Linked DNA regions of Arabidopsis thaliana. The protein of the gene in region 2 interacts with the protein of the main gene of each other region in a pairwise test. Each region holds a gene or a part of one and is shown on either strand. Other genes may lie near its edges. The genes, in order: EXO70A1, SEC6 and EXO70E2.

Region 1 (3,755 bases), on a different chromosome or scaffold from region 2:
TGTGTGTGTAGCGTTTTGGAATCGCGGCTGCGGTTGCCATATCTATTAACCACTGCGGTTGGAGACTAACCGTTTTCGTGGGCTACCAATTGAAACGATTTGATTTTGTCAGTTAGTTTGTTAAAGCGTTTTAAATTAGCGATTGTAAAAAGGGAATGAGCATTATTTTTGGACAGACTAATTTAAACAGTCTAAAAAATTAGACGATTCATTGAACCGCTTAGAAAAAGTGGTTGGAATTCATTATTATTTTTAAATTTTAATGTGTCTATACTTTCATGAATTTTGTTTTTTATATCTATAAAACAATTTATGATATGTCACTAGCTTACTATACATATTTTTTTAGTCATTAACATCATTTCTCATTGCTTTAGGCTATATTGTATTCTCTACAATATAAATTGAAATAAGGAAAAAAAAAACTTACAATGACTAAATTTTAGTCACCAATGGAACTAATTATTTTGTAAGAAGGTTGAAAACTACTTTTTTTTTTTTCTAGAAGAGTCGGCGAACAGTGATGGTTAAATGAATTATGGGAGCCATGTTTGGCCTTCGTCTGCTGTCAGCCAAGCCCCTGCGAAACCCCACCCCTGGCCTGTGCAAAAGTTTACGCGCGCATTCTGAGAACGTGCTTTCCACGCTCCGATTAAGACGTCACTAAGAGTCAAAGCACTTTGATTTTCTCTTCTTTTCTCACAAAACACTTTCTTTTTTTATATACAGTATGATTTTTTTTTTTGTCGTCATTTTTTTTTATTTATTTATTTAATATGCCTCTTATGGTAAAACATATTTCAAGAAGGTTTATGTTTCTATAAACTAAAAGTTATCAACGGCAGATGAATAAATATGGAACTAATTTTCTCTCTAAATATCCAAAAATATGAGAATGTTGTCCATGGTTTTGGGAACAGAATGAGTGACGGAAAAGCCATGAAAAGAAAAGGTATCTTAGGAATATCATCTTCCTTTTGCTCGCCTAACCTTTTTTTATTGTTCTTCTCTTTTTGAATTTAAAATATTTTTCTGCTCTCTAGTAAACATTTAAACCATCGTAATAAATTGAGAATAAAGTGTGTGTATGTTTGTGTGTGTGAATGTTCGGTGTGATTTCAATTTATTGGAGGATAGAACTGTTGTGTCGAAATTGACACACCAAGGTGCCAAGTTGAGTACAAAATAAAGATCCTCTAGAGGCTACATCTTCGTCTAACAATCCTCATAAGTCTTCTTCTTCTTCTTTTTTTTTTAGTTTTCAACACACTAATGTCAAGTGTTTTGTTCATTTCTTTTTAGTTATAATATGTCTCTTGAGAAAATGTTGATATTTAGTTTGTTGTTGAGCCATTTATTTTCTGAGACAAATTTGGTCGTTAATGGATAATATTCTTAGAGATAGATCTACAGTACTGTGACTTTTGTGTAAAAACAAATTTGTAGCCGTATTTAATGGGCTATTTCGTATTTGGACAATAGCCTTTTATTTTGTGGGCCATGATATGTCAACACTGCTCAATGCTTATAAATGTTGTCGACATTTAACGAACGATATAACACCAAAAACTTCGAGTTTGTAAAGAAAAATTATGAGAGGATTACATTATGGTTAGCATATCTGACTATAATAAATTGAAAAATTACATTACTGGTTGATGGAAAGACAAATTTTTATTGAAGTGTACTTATTTCTTTAATTTTATTGGAATATAATATTCGATATGTGTTATTATGGTTAGCGTCTGCATATATTAATTTACGATTACATTATTGGTTAATGGAAATACAAAATTTTATTGAACCTTAATTATTTCTATAATTCTGTTATAAAAATATTTAAAACAGAGGTCAATATTTTTAAGAGAATGTTCAACAATCTGGTTAAGTAAGGGGAAAGAAAAAGCTTAGCTGGCTTTGAACCGGCTCGGCATTCCTCTGTCACCCACCAAACCAAACCGAGTCATCCTTCGTCGTCTCTCTTTCTTTTTCTTCAACTTCCATTTTTCGAAAGGCGACGAGAAAAAGTATTTCTCCAGTTTTGGAATTCGCCATGGCTGTTGATAGCAGAATGGATCTGCTAAGCGAAAGAGCTGTGTTGATGAGAGCATCTCTTCAAAAGAGTCAAACCATCACCGATAATGTTGTTTCTATCCTCGGCTCCTTCGATAGTCGTCTGTCTGCTCTTGAAACCGCCATGCGTCCTACTCAGGTGTGGTTTAGAGTGCTCCGATCATCTTCTCTGATTGTTTTCTAATCCAGATCTGGTATTATAGCTCTATGGAGTTTTGCTGACTTGATCGGATTTTGGTTTGACTGTGTTTTGAAATCTCAGATTAGGACTCATGCTATAAGGAAAGCTCATGAGAATATTGATAGGACTCTTAAGGCTGCTGAAGTTATTTTGTCTCAATTCGATCTCCTCCGTCAGGTTTGTTTTACAAATCTTGCTTCTGATTTTACTAACATGGATCGGTATAAATAGATAGAATTGATAATGATCTACATTGAGAATAGATAGTCTTTGATTATGCTCTCAATTCAATTCTAGGCAGAGACTAAAGTACTCAAGGGGCCACATGAGGACCTGGAAAGTTATCTGGATGCAATTGCTCAACTCAGAAAGATTATTCGTTATTTTATGAGCAACAAAAGCTTTAAGAGTAGTGATGGAGTTCTCAACCACGCAAATAGTTTGCTTGCTAAAGCACAGTCAAAGCTGGAGGAAGAGTTTAAGCAGTTGCTAGCTTCTTACAGGTTTGTGCTTCTGCGCCTGATAAGAGTTTAAGAAGCTACATGATTTCAAACTTGATGCTCTTGCTATAACTATGACTCATACCTTGTAACTTCAGGGAACAAAGCTATTGTGGATTTTTAGCTACTTTTTCTAGTTAGTATTTTTTTGGGAACTGGTCTTCGCTCTATGATGGTCTTACTTCTTTAGTTATCTTTCAAATAACCTAGAATACTTAGAATGACCTTTTATCTAAATTATCGGAGTTGTCACCTGACAAAGATTTTTTTTTGTGAAATCAAACACTTGTCAATATACAAGTTTCCTATGATACGAGTGTTCCAGACAACTGGTTTTAGATGGAAGAATGCTAAGGCCAACTCTTTTTTTTTGTTATAATCAGTAAAGCGGTGGAGCCTGATCGCCTATTTGATGGCCTTCCCAACTCACTGAGACCATCCTCAGACGGGGATGGAGGTGGAAAACCCCACGGAGGACATCACAATGATGACGCGGAAACTGCTGCTTATACACTTCCAATCCTCATTCCGTCACGGGTGTTGCCACTTTTGCATGACTTGGCACAGCAAATGGTTCAGGCTGGTCACCAACAACAGTTGCTACAAATTTATAGGTGAACTATTGATTCTTGGTCATTCATCCTGTATGTCGTACAGTTCATTTTCAAATCAGGCTCTTAGCTTAAATTTTCAACTAATAATTGTAGCATGAGTCAAAGTACTGAGTCAAGGTATAGTTTCTTTGAACGATTGCGGGTATACAATTAACTTACATATAATTCTCACCAGTCACCGCTCATTTACAAAGTAGTTTTTCCATGGTTTCTGCAAGTTGTGAGTTTATATTTGACTATCCTTCTGCTGTTTCACTAGTAAAGCTAAAGAGAAATGTTTTTGAAATATGAATTTCTATTGACACTCATCAAATAGTTTGGCTGTGATGTGCACATCGTGTACTCCGCTGTTTGTGCTTACCTGATCTGAAAACATTATTGCTAGAT
Region 2 (3,755 bases):
ACTAGCATTGAGCAAATTGATGGACTGATGATGAAATCTCAAAGAACACGTGAGAGATAACCATACCGGACCTAGCTCCACAAGCAATTTCCTAAGCTCCGCTGCTCGTACCTAATGATACCAATTCGTGAAATCGAAAACGAAGCATGAGAACACAAAATCATCATTATCATTGAAGAGCAAATCACGAAATTGGAAAAAAGACCTTGAACATTTGATCAGAGCGTTCCAAAGCCTCATCAGCTAAGCGAAGCCCAAACCAATAACTAAACGTAGTTCCGATCTGAGCTAATCTACGAAGCAGAATCAGAGGTTTCTTCTTATACATCCCATCAATCCTGGGAAAATTGTACTCCGACAAAGAATCAGCCTCATCGGCACTGAGACTGAACAAATAACCGGATTTACTAGTGAAACTATCTACATCTCTAGACGCAGCGGAGACAACAACGGCGGAGTTTCCTCTTCGCGACGGCCAAGATGGTTGTGGATTAATCAGCAGATTGGGATTGGCGGGAAAAGAAACGATTGGCATAGAAGAAGGAAGCCGAAGCATCTCTTTCAAAATCTACAGAGTTATCTTCTTTTTCTTTTCTTCTTCGCCAATGGTTGTTGGTGAGATTTTGAATATCATGCAGTGGATTCTTCTAAGAAATGGCAAATAATATGGTTCTCTACTGTTTTATCTCTTTTTTGCCGGTCACATTCTTTATACTTTCTCTCTCTCTCGACATTTGCTGGGATTTTCTGTGTCACACAAATGGCACCAATCTTTTTGTACGTTTTTTAAGTATTTATATGTCATATAAATGTACTTTATTTAGCTACTAATCATATTTTTTGGTTAGTGACTAAAACTGTATCATTCCAAACTATTCATAATAATTACGTTTAAAACTTAAGAAAAACATATGAAAAAGTTTGTAGATTGTCTGTTTATTTATCTGTCCTTGGATGCTTCCTTTGAAGAAAAAGAAATTTAGTGTATATATAAAAGAGATAAAGAATATATCACATCCACATATTTGGTAATTGATATATAACTCTGTAGATCTTATTCCTTTTAGATACCAATGACTCTTCTTTTTATGTAAACCATCAAAATCTGAAACAAGCTGAATAATGAAATACACATATCTTAAAATATATTTTTACTAGTAGTAGTAATTAGTAAATATCATAATATCAGTTTGTGGAGTATTTTAGAAAGAATTCGAACATAATATATTTTCGATTTTTTCCTAAATGTAAACTTTCGAATTTTCTCTAGTATGTTCTTAATGAAAAAATGTAAACTTACCAAATGTTGCTGATATATTTACAAAAATGTAAAGTTAGTGTCGACGATACATGTATATAAATATAATCAGTACACGAAAAAAAAGGTTAAGAAAGATTAGAGATTGGTGGTGTGGTGAACAAGAAGATGGACATGTATCATTTGACAGAATACATCGGCGTGGTATCGGGCGTCCTTATGGTAGCTCTTGCTTCGTGCTTGTATGGCCATTACCTACGTCGCATGGTATGTCCATGTTGTGAACCTAGACTACCTAGTGACTCTAATGCCTAACTATTATCATTTTGCTACTGATTATATTTATATAAATGTATTGTCGAAAATTGTGCGTCCGTTTATCCTCTACGCTAAACGGACTCTAGATGAATAATTATTTGTTTCAAAATATTGTAACTCTATTCTATTGATATTTATGAGATTTTACAAATTTCTTTTCAAATAGTTTGTACTTGGAAGCTGTCATTTTCTTAGGCTTTGTTTTTCTTTTTCGTCGAGTTCAATATTCCATCCATCTCATCGATTTATTTCTTATATATTACATGTACTACGTTATGTGCAAAACTTTGATGATATCACAACTAATATATCACATCCAAGTTTTGCAAAGCATGTCGTCAAATTATAAACTTATCAAAACATATGCAACCCCATTAATATCAAACGTATGTAACATCGCTAGATAACCAATCAGACCCCTACGACTAATATTTTCGAATTCGATACGTTATGGTAAGATTTAAAATCGATGATATTTTAGTGACATTTCAAATGATTAAACATATAACAAAAAATAAAAAATAACACGAACCCGAGCATGGGGTTAAGATTTGCGTTTTGCTCAACGAATTAGCGTTAGCGTTTGCAAAAAAAAAAAAAAAAAAAATAGGTTTGCATCAACAGCTGGCAAAAAAGAAAAAGAAAAATCAAAACCGGCGAGACGGAAAATTTCAGCGTTTCCGAACTTTCCATTAGAGTCGCGAGACGATAGATGAGACTCGTTCCAGAAATTTAATCGTTGCTTCTCTTCCCAGCTGATCTGCGTCCAACATCACTGTTTCCAGGATCTTCAGAATCAGCGAAGGAAGAAGATAAGAGGACGACGAAGTAATTGAAGTTGGAGAATCGCACATTTGGCTCTCGATATTTGCTCAATGACTTCTTATTCGGTTGCGTCCATTTTTCCTCTACGTTTCTGTTTCCAGATCTCTTGATTCTCCTCTGCGTTATCGTAATTGTGCTGGAATTTTGAATAACTTTGCAGAGGTAGCCTTCAATTTAGGATCGGAGTTCGTAAATAAGGTGATTTAGCGAAGATGATGGTCGAAGATCTTGGTGTGGAAGCGAAGGAAGCGGCTGTGCGAGAAGTGGCGAAGCTCTTACCCTTACCTGAACTTTTGCAGTCTATTTCTTCAATCAAGGCCGATTACATCGCTCGTCAACAGGTTTGACATCTTGCTTTTGAATTGCAATTGGAACTGAATTGGCTTTTGAAGTATCATTTGCACTGAGTATTAGTGATTCCTGAGCAATGCTAGATTTGAGTTGTTAGGTTTTGATATGCTATTGTTATCTTTTATTTTCGATTTTCTGGAAATTTTTAATGACCTGACTAGTGATGCTTGCTGTTTCAATCAGGCAAATGATGCACAGCTCAGTACTATGGTTGCTGAGCAGGTACAGCTTTAATCTGGCCTTCTTTGTACTTTAATGTATTTCGACTTTTTTGTTGTTCTTAAGTAATAGCTGTTGACAAACTTCAGGTTGAACAAGCTCAAGCTGGGTTAGAGTCACTTTCATCATCTGAGAAAACCATTTATGAACTGCGGGATAATTTCATTTCTATCGACAAGTATGTTTTTGCTTGACTAGAGATTCTTGAAGCTGAGTTACCAACTTTTGCATTTCTCTCCCTCTAACTTCTCTTCTTGTGCCACAGGCTTTGTCAGGAATGTCAAACTTTGATTGACAATCATGACCAAATAAAGCTGCTGAGTAACGCCAGGAATAATCTAAACAAAACTCTAAAGGTAGATATGCCGATGAGCACTGATTGTATTGCTTACAGTATTTGGTTCAGTGTTGTCCTTCTAACTTATTCTTGAACGCAAATATATATAGCTCTGCATGGTCGTCTCAGATGTTTAAATGCTTTCCAAGTTTTTGTCAACTTATTTTTACCTCATTCTCTTTTTTCAAGGATGTAGAAGGTATGATGTCAATTTCTGTTGAAGCTGCTGCGGCTAGGGATTCTTTGAGTGATGATAAAGAAATCGTTAACACTTATGAGGTAGCATGAGTTCCTCTTCCCATGGATTCCAGGCATTTCTGACTGCATCACTTTGAAAAAAAGAACGTTTGGTGTAAGACATAATATTCTGTTTTTCTTCCATAGAGATTAACAGCACTTGATGGTAAACGAAGATTTGCATTAGCAGCTGCTGGAGAGGAGGTTGGG
Region 3 (3,755 bases), on a different chromosome or scaffold from region 2:
GAGACAGTAATGAAACATTGAAGATCAAAAAAGATAATTTGCTTACTTTCCCCTTTGTTCACTCATTATCTGAGAAGCTGATTTGGCTACAAATTCCTGCTTCGGTTTCAATGTGATACCAGTAGAAACAACATCATTCAGAGGACTGACAGGAGAATGCTCTAGTTTCTGCTTCTTGGGCTCACGAGCCTCCTCCTCTCCGCTCTTACTGTCCAAGTTAATCTCAGAATCAAGCACAGAACCAACAGCCTCACATTTAGTCACAAGGAAATATCTGACACAGAGACAATAGAGAAACACACATGTTAGTAACTGTTGATTTCAAGAATCGAACCAGAGTGATTATCCATGTAAAGAAGAAGCAAAAGAGAAGTCTTACTTTGTAGATTTGCTTGAAATGTCGTTAACAGTGAAATCAATGAGACGAATTAGACCCAAGTTCTGGATCTTCCCAGAAATGATTTCAGGTGTGAGTGAAGCAGTAAACATTGCTTTGACTTTCGTCTTTCCGTCATTTGCACTAAATCTGTCAACCAAAATCAAAACAGATCCATCAGAACAAAATCGGTAACTAAAACCCAAAACTAGGCAATATACAAACTATTATCAACAAACCCAGATCTCTTCTATCATAGAGTCATCAAAGTCGTTGCATATCATAATCTAGCTATACAATTGTGATTGAGAGAATATAACACTGACCTAAAGCTGGAACAAGCGAGATTTAAGAAATCAAGTAAAACCCAGATCATGAAAAGCCAAGGAAACTTACGTATAGCGATTGCCGATAGGTTTAAGATCCACAACTTGAACAACGATCTCAGATCGATCGGAAGACGAATCAAAGGATGGGTTTGACAAAACGGTGGAGATGGCATCTGGGGTCACCGAAGTCTGCATCTTTCTCTCTAGATATTGAAAAATGAAACGTTTGGTTTCTCTTTAATCAGAATGGTGAAAACTAAAAGCCGTGAGATAGTGAGAAGAATGAGAGAGAGGTACGAGGGTTTTTGTAAAGGAGAGAGCTTTAAGCGGGAGCTATTAAATTCGATTAATTGTTCCCCCGCCGATTTCAATTTCTATTTTTTTGGCAAAAAACTCTTACCGCTTCTTTTCAGTATCTTTCCATTTTTTTGGCGCATTTTGTTTTGTTTGATAATGGACTTTGTATGCGAAAGAAACTGTGTTACAAAAGCCTTTCACTTCAGGCCCATAGTTTATGGTTTTGTTTTTATGTGTGGGTCTTGAATCCACCGTATCACACGTTATGATTCATAAATATCTAAAATTTATTTCCAACAAATACAATTTTTTTGTTTCTTAAAGAACACATACGATATTATTATTTCAGAAAAAGATTAAATACAAAATCCCCAGGATCAAAATCAAACACCAATTCCAGATTAAACAATATCAACAATCTTTAATGTTTTTGACTTTTTTTTTTCTCTGAATGTTTTTGACAATTGAAAAAAATAATTCTACGCATTGCGTGAGGCAAACATTTAAAATTTTAATTTATATAAAGAGAAAATTTATACTTCTTGACTTGGGAAAAAAAAACTTGCTGAGGTCCTTACTTGATATGAGCTGTCAACTACTAGTGTGAGCCGTACAAATATAATCGGACGGTTCAGATCAATACATTGCGAGCCAGTCAAACTTCAAGTATTGACTAATCAACATCAACGTTTATTACACTAATTTATTATTGTACCCCTTATTTTCCAAAAACATAATACTTTTATCCCTATTGTATCCAATAGCTCTAAAAAAATCCACCATAAAATGTGTTTAATGAAATTCGATTATCTCTGACGACAACATTATCAAAAATCAAGACAAGAGATAGAACATAAAATGTTCAAATTCGTAAAAGTAATTGAAACAAATTAAATTCATTTCGAAGTTTATTAATTACATTTTGACCCCCAAATTTAAGTTAATTAGACTTACCATCCCCATGGTTTTCGTCCCGCCATATGGGGAAGTCAATGGACGAATCAATCTCAATTAGATTCGGGGCGGCCCAAAAATTTATCATTTTCTAAACCTTTCGTAATCTACGAAATTACGGGATCGCCTTCGTTGGAATACTAATTCCATTTTTCAACTTTGTTTTTATAAATACAGTTTACGTGCACCACAACTTTTCTTCTTTCCCTTCTTCTTCCCCAATAATCTCGCTGAAACTCTCTTGCTCTTGCTTCTAAAAATCTGTTCTTTGAGACTTTGATCACACAGTTATCAAAATCATAATCTCTTCTTTCCTGGTTTTTTTTTTTTTCTTCTTCTTCTTCCCGTTTCACGGTACGTTTACTCTGTTCGATCACCGAGTGTATGATAAAATGTTTCTGTGAAATCAAATAACATATCACTTTCTAATAAACATCAAAATTTCTCCTTTTTTACAGAAACAAGAAGTTTTTTTGGGAAAGCCGTTGACTTGACTTTTTCTTTGGGGTGTTGTGTGGGAGCTTATAGTATGGTACCATAAGTGGGAGCTTATAGTTTGGGGTGTTGTGTGGGAGCTTATAGTATGAGGAAAAATGTTAGATTTGAAGAATGCTTCACTGATTTTTTACCATAAGTATGTCAACTGGATTAAGCTTAAGTAGTAATGGTTTTTACTATGTTCATGTGGGGATTTCTCTTCCTCTCTGTTTACTTCATTCCGAGATGACTTGAGATTTTTTCAAAGTATAGTTCTTGGAGTTAAGCTTACCTAGTAATCACTTTATATAACATCCCTTCGTTTACATTTGTGCTTTCACCTGGAAACACTTTAGACTTTTCTCTCTTCTGCCGTGTGTATTTAGTTGTCTAGTCAAATTTAAGTTGAGTTTAGGCTCTAGTCTTTGGTTTTGGTTATGGCAGAGTTTGATTCCAAGGTTCCTGTTTCCGGAATGAACAATCATGTCTTTGAGGCATGTCACCATGTTGTTAAGGCACTGAGGGCATCTGATAACAACCTGGATGCCAATTTGAGAAAGCTCCTAAGTGACCTAGAGATGCATTTGTCAACATTTGGGATTGCTGATACCAAAGTTGAAGATGCAGGATTCTCTGAGATCAAGAAGAGATTCAAAGAAGCTGTGAAGAGAATCCGCAGTTGGGAGACAAACCAGTCGACGATGTTTGAAGCTGGTCTGTCTGAAGCTGATCAGTTCTTTCAAGCCCTGTATGACGTTCAAACAGTTCTTGTGGGTTTCAAAGCTTTGCCCATGAAAACTAACCAGATGGAGAAAGATGTTTACAACCAAGCTACGGTTGCTCTTGACATCGCGATGTTGAGGCTTGAGAAAGAGCTCTGTGATGTTCTGCATCAGCACAAACGGCATGTACAGCCTGATTACTTGGCTGTTAGTTCCCGTAGAAAAGATATTGTGTACGACGAGTCCTTTGTCTCCCTAGATGATGAAGTTATTGTCGAAGCTTCTTCACATGAAGATGATGAACAGATATCGGACTTTTATAATTCTGATTTGGTTGATCCCATCGTACTTCCTCACATCAAAGCTATTGCAAACGCCATGTTTGCTTGCGAGTATGATCAACCATTCTGTGAAGCTTTCATCGGCGTTCAAAGAGAAGCTCTGGAGGAGTATATGGTTACTCTCGAAATGGAAAGATTCAGCTGCGTTGATGTTCTCAGAATGGACTGGGAGGATTTGAATGGTGCAATGAGAAAATGGACAAAGGTTGTTAAGATCATTACTCAGGTCTATCTCGCCAGTGAAAAACAGCTATGTGAT

What was found.
Region 1: the proteins of SEC6 (region 2) and EXO70A1 interact in binary tests that used the Arabidopsis thaliana proteins (3 or more experiments, as listed by UniProt).
Region 3: the proteins of SEC6 (region 2) and EXO70E2 interact in a protein complementation assay, tested with the Arabidopsis thaliana proteins (one study listed by BioGRID).

The regions. Positions count from the first base shown.
Region 1 is NC_003076.8:887,553-891,307, forward strand, and holds the start of EXO70A1 (exocyst subunit exo70 family protein A1), read left to right. Parts: upstream 1-2,013; 5' UTR 2,014-2,053; coding exon 2,054-2,212; intron 2,213-2,335; coding exon 2,336-2,431; exon of another isoform or gene 2,432-2,551; coding exon 2,552-2,757; intron 2,758-2,964; coding exon 2,965-3,042; intron 3,043-3,137; coding exon 3,138-3,368; intron 3,369-3,755. UniProt on the Arabidopsis thaliana protein: Component of the exocyst complex involved in the docking of exocytic vesicles with fusion sites on the plasma membrane during regulated or polarized secretion. Involved in polarized cell growth and organ morphogenesis.
Region 2 is NC_003070.9:27,007,409-27,011,163, forward strand, and holds the start of SEC6 (SEC6), read left to right. Parts: upstream 1-2,155; 5' UTR 2,156-2,466; intron 2,467-2,561; 5' UTR 2,562-2,613; coding exon 2,614-2,742; intron 2,743-2,935; coding exon 2,936-2,974; intron 2,975-3,060; coding exon 3,061-3,149; intron 3,150-3,236; coding exon 3,237-3,327; intron 3,328-3,497; coding exon 3,498-3,587; intron 3,588-3,692; coding exon 3,693-3,755. Other genes in the region: AT1G71810 (Protein kinase superfamily protein), read right to left, coding at 67-111, 206-556. UniProt on the Arabidopsis thaliana protein: Component of the exocyst complex involved in the docking of exocytic vesicles with fusion sites on the plasma membrane during regulated or polarized secretion. Involved in polarized cell growth and organ morphogenesis.
Region 3 is NC_003076.8:24,551,742-24,555,496, forward strand, and holds the start of EXO70E2 (exocyst subunit exo70 family protein E2), read left to right. Parts: upstream 1-2,002; 5' UTR 2,003-2,870; coding exon 2,871-3,755. Other genes in the region: RPA70D (Replication factor-A protein 1-like protein), read right to left, coding at 47-274, 380-526, 773-900. UniProt on the Arabidopsis thaliana protein: Influences the subcellular localization patterns of other exocyst complex proteins (e.g. SEC5A, SEC15A, SEC15B and EXO84B) leading to their recruitment to exocyst, well-defined large punctate structures throughout the cytosol.